Schizosaccharomyces pombe: one gene and its partner. The gene in region 2 interacts genetically with the main gene of each other region. Each region holds a gene or a part of one and is shown on either strand. Other genes may lie near its edges.

Region 1 (3,471 bases), on a different chromosome or scaffold from region 2:
TGTTTTTGTTCATACACGCATTTCTTTGCATCCAGTAATTTTGGTTTTTTAAAACCACTCTCTTTTTTATCATTTCTCCACTTCATGTTCTACTCATTGCGTTCTGAGGCCACTGTATTTCATTTATTTGCCTGTGCCATATTCGCTACATCATTAAAGGATTTGTTTGCGTTGAGACACGCGTTCATTCTAATCACCATATTTAAAATAACTTATGCTTGCTTAATCTATTACTAATTTATTCAATTTAAGTGGATAGCTTCCGTTCAGGCTTGTTTTACGTTCTTTTATGTCTCTCATAGTCTCAGGTATCATTTTTTTTTTGGAAAGTGCATAAATGCAATATGGATTTAACTGAGCTATTTTAAATGGAAGTTTACATCTTTCAACTTTTTTAGATGTTAATTAATACAAATACCATAACTTCGAAAAACTATTATAATATTCTTTATTATACCATGCTGTTTATTAAATTGTTTACTGAATTAATGTTTCATTATTATGAGTTGCTTTAGCTTTCAAGGTAGTATTTAATAATCGTTCAGTAGAAAAGCGGATTATTCATTCCCAAACATAAAAAGGTAAATGGAACATACTAGATTAGTTTCTACCCGTATTTGGCATTCCAAAAATAATATGATGAGATCTCATCAGTTTAAAGTGCGCTAGACAATAAACTACCATTAGGCCACGCATATTATTTACTGTTAGCACTGCACACCAAGTAAACCAATTAATTCAAAACATGGGTTCAGTTCGCATTCGCTCTGTCATTAAAGAAGATCTTCCGACCGTTTATCAGTTTATTAAAGAATTGGCAGGTAAGCGCCGTTATGACCAAGAGGACGAAGTCGTGTAGATTCTATTAAAAGGCTAGAGCTTTTGCCAGTATCCCAGACTCACAGGGTCTGATTCTCTTATTGAATTGGAGATTACTCTTAAGCTTTTTATATGGATTTGAGAATATATGGTTTTCGTCAGCAGGGTCGATCTCTACTTCTGTCCGCATGCTATCAGATCAGTTTGTGTTACTATTTAAAAACCGGTTTTAACATTTTGTTTATGAAGAATTTGAAAAATGTGAAGATCAAGTGGAAGCGACAATTCCGAATTTAGAAGTTGCATTTGGATTTATTGACGAGGTTACTCCTGTGGCATATGGAGTATTCATCGAAGAAAATGATCAGGTTCGTAAAAAAAAGTAAACTTGCTTGATCTTTTTTACTAATCTATAATTGCCATCAGCCCGCAGGAATGGCTATATATTTCCTAAATTTTAGGTAGTGAAAAGTTCCGTTTTGAAATATATGAGCTGACGTTGAATAGCACGTGGACTAGCAGAGTGGGGATTTATTTAGTATGTTCTTATCATATTGTCCTTCATAACCTTTTTATTGAAGGATTAACTTTTGATTTCATAGCAAGATTTTAACCATTCAATTTCTTAGGAGGACTTATATGTTCGACCCCAATTCCGTGGAAAAGGATATGGAAGCTACTTACTGTCTTATTTAGCACGAGAATCACTTAGAATTGGTGGCAGACGTCTTGACTGGGTTGTAAGTTGTTTATAACCCATTTCTTTTTTTATACCTTGACTAATACCCTAGGTCCTTGATTGGAACCAGAGAGCCATTGAAGTCTATGAAAAGGCTGGAGCACAAAAAGTTGGAGGATGGAGTATGATGAGAGTCACCGGCGAGAACCTAAAGGCTCTTGCTGATAAACTTCCCGGCAACTTTTAAACTCATACCCAATACTTAACGCTCTAAAAAATTGAAGCATGATATGTTATACCTTTGAAACCTTGAACTGGAAAGAGGAAAATTAATTTTTTATGATTGAAAGATCCTGGATCTTGTAGTTTCGTTTTAAAGCGGTCATTTCAATGTCTTTAGGTTATTTCCCGTTTACCAAAAAATACGATATCAATTTACATCTTACATTTTTTAAAATTAAAAAATAAAGAATCCTTTTTTTTGCAAAGTAAATTATTAGAACTGGTATATTGTTCTAATGTTAATTCCTATAAAACTAATTTGATCGTTTTCCTTTCAATTCATCAAATCGGCTTCTTATTGTGTATTAAAAAATAGAAAGAAAGTATTGGTTAGTATTCTTGAATATCTTTTATTGTGTTTCTTTTTCGAAACGCGTCGCGCGCAATTGTAAACAAACCAACTACCTACAACAGTTTGCCTGTCAATGTTTCAAGGAAAGTGCGCCTTTTTTGATGAAACCGTACCTTCTGCATTAATTGCTTTATGGCGTAAGTTTTAAAGGTTTGATGTGCACTTGTTTGTTGTCGAATGATTTATGGTTCAGTTGTTCTTACTAAAGATAGAATTACACAACGGAGAAGCGAAATTTTTAGCAGAAGGTTATGAAAATTTTGATTATGCATTTTCAATGCATCTAAGAAAGCACGTCCGCTTGCCAAATTACAAATCAGTTCAATGTCGTTCTCCTTGGTGGATTGCGGAGCAAGTAGCTGTTTCCAGAAGGTATTTATTAAATTTACTAAATATTGCATTGATAGTTTATCTTATCATTTACCAAGGCAAGTACTAACCACCATTATTAGCAAAAGTTACGTTTCTGAACCTGTCATTCATTTGAACGTGATGGAACCTTTATATGTTGATCACAGAATACGTTCAGTGTATCTACAGCCTCTGCCATCCACGCTTTCTTTTCTAAACGGTGAATTACCTTGAAATGCTTTGGTGCTGATATGGCGTTGTTCCGATTGTAAATTCTATGCTAATTGTGAAAAATACCTTTCCTTTTTCTATCCTTTATAATTTAATGATCGTTCCTTTAGCTCTCAAAATCGTCAACTGAAGTTGTCACAACCTTCACTTAACCATACGTTACGAATATTAATTTAATGCCTATTTATGCTATTAGCCTAAGATTATTTTCGAATTTTACCTAATTTCTTTATTTATATCCCATAAAGACACTTACGTCTTTTCAATGGACAATTGAACAAGTATACATTGCATAAACATAAAAAACTTACTTCATCTAAGTCCGAGTTTAAAAACTGTTGTTTCCATTTATTATTTCTCATTTACGTTTCGTTTCTTTTTTATTCTCTATTTTTTAATTCTTTTTATAATAACTTTTTTTTTCTGGAATCGCTCACCATTCGGACTAATTTATCTACTTATTTGCATAGGAAACATGAGCAAGTCTACTTTTCATCAAACTTCCCCATCTTTTGTACAATACACTCATGCTACAGATAAACTAAAACCTGCACCTCATGGGATGAATACGCGGGGAAATAACTTATCCTCTATGTCAAAAAATACCGGACAAAGAAAACAGCGTTCCAAATCCATTCATGGACTTCCAGTTGCTCCCGTTTTTTATCCTGATAAAGAGGAATTTCAGGACTCTATCGGTTATATTAATAAGATAGCTCCAATCGGTGAAAAATATGGTATCATAAAAATCGTTCCT
Region 2 (4,160 bases):
GCGTTGAGATCTTTGATAGAAAAAGAAGAAGCTGCAGCTCCCCCAAAGACTTACGAAGATTTCAAATTTTGGAAAACCCAGCCAGTTCCTAAGTTTGGTATGCCTATCCTGGTTTGTTGAAATATACTCTGAGATTCTTTTATACATATTAATGCTTACCATAATAGATGATGAATGTACTCAAGAAGGCCCAATAGATCCCAATACCGATATAAACCAGGTTCCTAGAGAACCTTATCGTTTGCTAAAAGAGTTTGAGTGGGCAACTATTGATGTAACAAACGACAATGAGGTTAGTGTAGTTTGATGTTTTCTGCTACGTATTAAGAAGCAAAACTTGCTGACATTTCTATAGTTATCTGAGGTTCATGAACTCTTAACTGAGAATTATGTCGAGGATGCTACGGCGATGCTTCGGTTTGCATACATCTCAGAGTTTCTCAGGTGGGCCCTTATGCCCCCTGGATATGTAAAAGAATGGCACGTCGGAGTACGAGTAAAGTCCTCTCGTAAGTTGGTAGCTTTCATTTCTGCTGTTCCTTTAAGTATTAGGGTTCGTGACAAAATTATTAAGAAATGTGCTGAAGTGAACTTCTTGTGCATACATAAAAAACTTAGAAGCAAGCGCCTTACTCCTTTATTAATTAAAGAAGTCACACGTAGATGTCATCTTGAGAATGTTTGGCAAGCTGTTTATACAGCCGGTGTATTATTACCCAGTCCCGTGAGTTTGTCTCGTTATATGCATCGTAGTTTAAACTGGAAGAAACTGTACGATATAGGATTCGCACCTTTTCCCTTGGGGTCAACGGAGAAAAAGGAGACTGCAAAATATCATTTACCTCCAAATACTCAGACCCCGGGTTTACGTCCGATGGAGTTGAAAGATGTACCTGCCGTTCAGTCGCTGTTATCTCAATACATGGAACGTTTCGAACTTGCCCACTTATTTTCGGAAGAGGAAGTGCGACATTGGTTTTTGTACACTGACAAGGTTTCAAGTGGCCCTGTTGTTTGGAGTTACGTTGTGGAGAATCCAGAGTCCAAGAAAATTACCGATTTTTTTTCGTTTTACTCTTTACCCTCAACTGTAATAGGAAACCCAAAATACAAAGATATTCAAGCTGCATACTTGTACTACTATGCCTCTGATTCTTGTCCAAAAGACTTATCTTCTGAATCACAGTTGGCATTCGTTGAACGTTGTAAATTGATAGTTAATGATGCTCTTATATTGGCTAAAAAGGTAAGTTTATATGGTTTTATTACTTGCTAATAATTCAAAACAGTTCCACTTTGATGTATTCAATGCTGTTACGGTTTTGGATAACAATCTATTCTTGAAGGACCTAAAATTTGGAGAAGGAGACGGTTTTTTGAACTATTACATCTATAATTATAACTGTCCAAAAATTCCTGGAGGAATCGATGCTTCTAAAAGTGTTGATTATTCGAGGCCTAGTGGAATGGGTTTTGTAATGATTTAAATCCTAAAATATTAAAATACATTATTTTTGATTTTTTTGAGTGTTTTTACTATTTTAAAAAAGTCCATATTTTAAAAGGTTTTTTGATATTAAATTTTTACTTATAGAACTTGTCATTTCACAAATATTAGGTTTTTAAATTTATAAAAAATATATAATAACTAGTTTTTATTTTCAAATGAAATTATCCCACTTGGTTTGCATAACATAAAATCCAAAAAATTTTCAATGTTTCATTATCCAAGGTTCTATATTTTTTTCTTGGTTATTTAATCAACATGACAAATGGTTTCATTAGTCCTTCAATCACCGTAAAATGTATTTAAATGGATGTAATACTGAGATTTGCATTTTCAGTTAGTGCATGTTTGTTTTTACCAAAAACCTATTCACCACCAAATTTTCGTCTAGCCTCTTAAATTGGCGTTTCTTGAGAACTATGGCTGATTCTCTAGTAGATATAAATGAAAGAATAACTTCACAAGGAAATCTTGTTCGATCTTTGAAAAGTCAAGGCGCCTCTAAAGAGGACATTGATAAAGAAGTTGCTAAATTACTTCAACTGAAAAACCTCAAACTTGGGGGTTCGGAAGTATCAGGAAAGAAAAAAGACACATCTTTTACACTGAAAACTCCGAAGGGTACTAAAGATTGGTGTGACAAAGATGTTGTTTTACGTGAGCACATTTTTTCAACTGTCACAGAGATATTCAAGCGTCATGGTGGTGTAACACTCGATACGCCAGTGTTCGAATTGAAAGAAATTCTTTCCGGAAAATATGGAGAAGACAGCAAGCTAATTTACGATTTGAAAGATCAAGGTGGAGAGCTTTGTTCTTTGAGATACGACTTGACTGTTCCATTTGCTCGTTGGTTAGCTATGAATCCCAAAGTTACGAGTATTAAGCGATTCCATATTGCAAAGGTTTATCGAAGAGATCAGCCAGCTATGACAAAAGGCCGTATGCGTGAATTTTATCAATGCGATTTTGATATCGCTGGCAACTACGATCCTATGATTCCCGATTCTGAAGCTTTAAAGGTTTTAGTGGAAGCATTAGATGCATTAGAAGTTGGAAATTATACTATCAAGCTTAATCATCGAAAAATTTTGGATGGCATTTTTACTGTTTGTGGTGTACCGGATGACAAAATTCGTACCATTTCCAGTGCTGTGGACAAGCTAGATAAACTCCCTTGGGAAGATGTCAGACGTGAAATGGTGGTTGAAAAAGGACTTAAAGAGGAGGTGGCAGATAAAATTAAGGAGTATGTGTTATTAAAAGGCGACCGCTCTCTTTTAGATAAGCTTGAAGCCGATAGTTTACTATCAAGCAATAGCTCGGCTGTTGCTGCATTTAACGACATGCGTCTTTTATTTGATTATTTGGAAGCTTTTGGAGTGTTAGATAGGTTTTCATTTGATATGTCTCTAGCGCGTGGTCTCGATTATTATACTGGTATCATTTACGAAGCAGTAACAGAGGCTTCTGCTCCAAAGATTAAGAGTTCGGCGGAAAAGAAAAAATCTGCTGATCCTGAAGCAGATCGTTCCAATGATGACTCTATTGGCGTTGGTTCGATTGCTGCTGGTGGACGTTATGACAATTTAGTTGGAATGTTTGCTGCAAAGAAAAACGCCAAAATCCCTTGTGTTGGCATTAGCCTTGGTTTAGAGAGGATTTTTTCAATTCTTAGATCAAAAATTCCTGATGAGGATATCCGTGCAAATGATGTTGATGTTTTCGTTATGGCATTTGGAGGTGGAAAAGAATGGACCGGCTTTTTGAAAGAGCGTATGTCTGTTTGTAAAGACCTTTGGGCAAATGGCATTAAAGCAGAATTTCTTTACAAAGTGAAACCCAAACCACGTCAACAATTTGACGCCGCCGATAAATTCGACGTACCTTTTGCTGTAATTTTGGGTCAAGATGAGTTTGCAAAGGGATCTGTTCGTATTAAACAAATGGGTTTAAAAGAAAATAGCGATGAAGGTCAGCTTGTGCCACGTGAGGAAATGGTATCAGTTTTGAAAAAGTTACTTAAATACGATTAAATATTCCTATAGCTCAATAATAATTATTGTATTATTTGATTGTTATCTCATCAATATTGTAAGTATTAAATAAAGATATTAAAATCGTATTTTCTGCAATCAAAAAGAGCGGTAATCTAAAAAGTAAGTTCTGTTATTAACTTAGAAAATGCTGTTTTCCGGAGGAATATATTGTCGTAATTGAACTCCTGCGGCTTGAAGGAGAGAAGCGGTATGGGAGTCCATGTTGTAAGACGTATGATAGACAACTGAGCATTAGTAAAAGATTAAAGAACTGAAACATACCTTCTTTAATCCCAAGCTGAGTAATCTTGACAGAACACGTAAGACAGGGACATCTTTCGACTGTTAGTAGCTTTATGTCTATATTTACATACGTATCACAGTATAATATTGCATTGTTTCCAACGCGTTCACGGCCAGCCTCTAAAAGAGCGTTTTCTTCGGCATGAAGACAAAGACAGGTATCAAGTTCTTTTCCACAGGAAGAAGCAGAATTGCAACGTGGACATCCGCCTTCATTACAGTTAGTGGCTCCTCTAGGTGTTCCATTGTAGCCTGTCGCAATAACACGATTTCCTCGCACAAGTACGCAACCGACGCGACGTTTCATACAA

The links.
Region 1: of hrs1 (region 2) and bqt2, changing one suppresses a phenotype caused by changing the other (phenotypic suppression), as found in Schizosaccharomyces pombe (one study listed by BioGRID).

Annotation. Positions count from the first base shown.
Region 1 is NC_003424.3:1,806,516-1,809,986, reverse strand, and holds bqt2 (bouquet formation protein Bqt2), read left to right. Parts: upstream 1-2,205; coding exon 2,206-2,269; exon of another isoform or gene 2,270-2,344; coding exon 2,345-2,504; exon of another isoform or gene 2,505-2,584; coding exon 2,585-2,717; downstream 2,718-3,471. Other genes in the region: SPOM_SPAC1002.07C (N-acetyltransferase Ats1), read left to right, coding at 746-821, 1,069-1,187, 1,246-1,280, 1,327-1,357, 1,449-1,559, 1,611-1,745; histone demethylase Jmj2, read left to right, coding at 3,190-3,471. UniProt on the Schizosaccharomyces pombe protein: Involved in chromosome segregation. During meiotic prophase, connects telomeres to the spindle pole body by forming a bridge between the telomere protein rap1 and the spindle pole body protein sad1.
Region 2 is NC_003423.3:3,455,314-3,459,473, forward strand, and holds hrs1 (histidine--tRNA (His) ligase Hrs1), read left to right. Parts: upstream 1-1,851; coding exon 1,852-3,543; 3' UTR 3,544-3,599; downstream 3,600-4,160. Other genes in the region: myr1 (N-myristoyltransferase 1), read left to right, coding at 1-97, 168-292, 356-1,246, 1,290-1,487; dcd1 (deoxycytidylate deaminase), read right to left, coding at 3,685-3,791, 3,829-3,881, 3,921-4,160.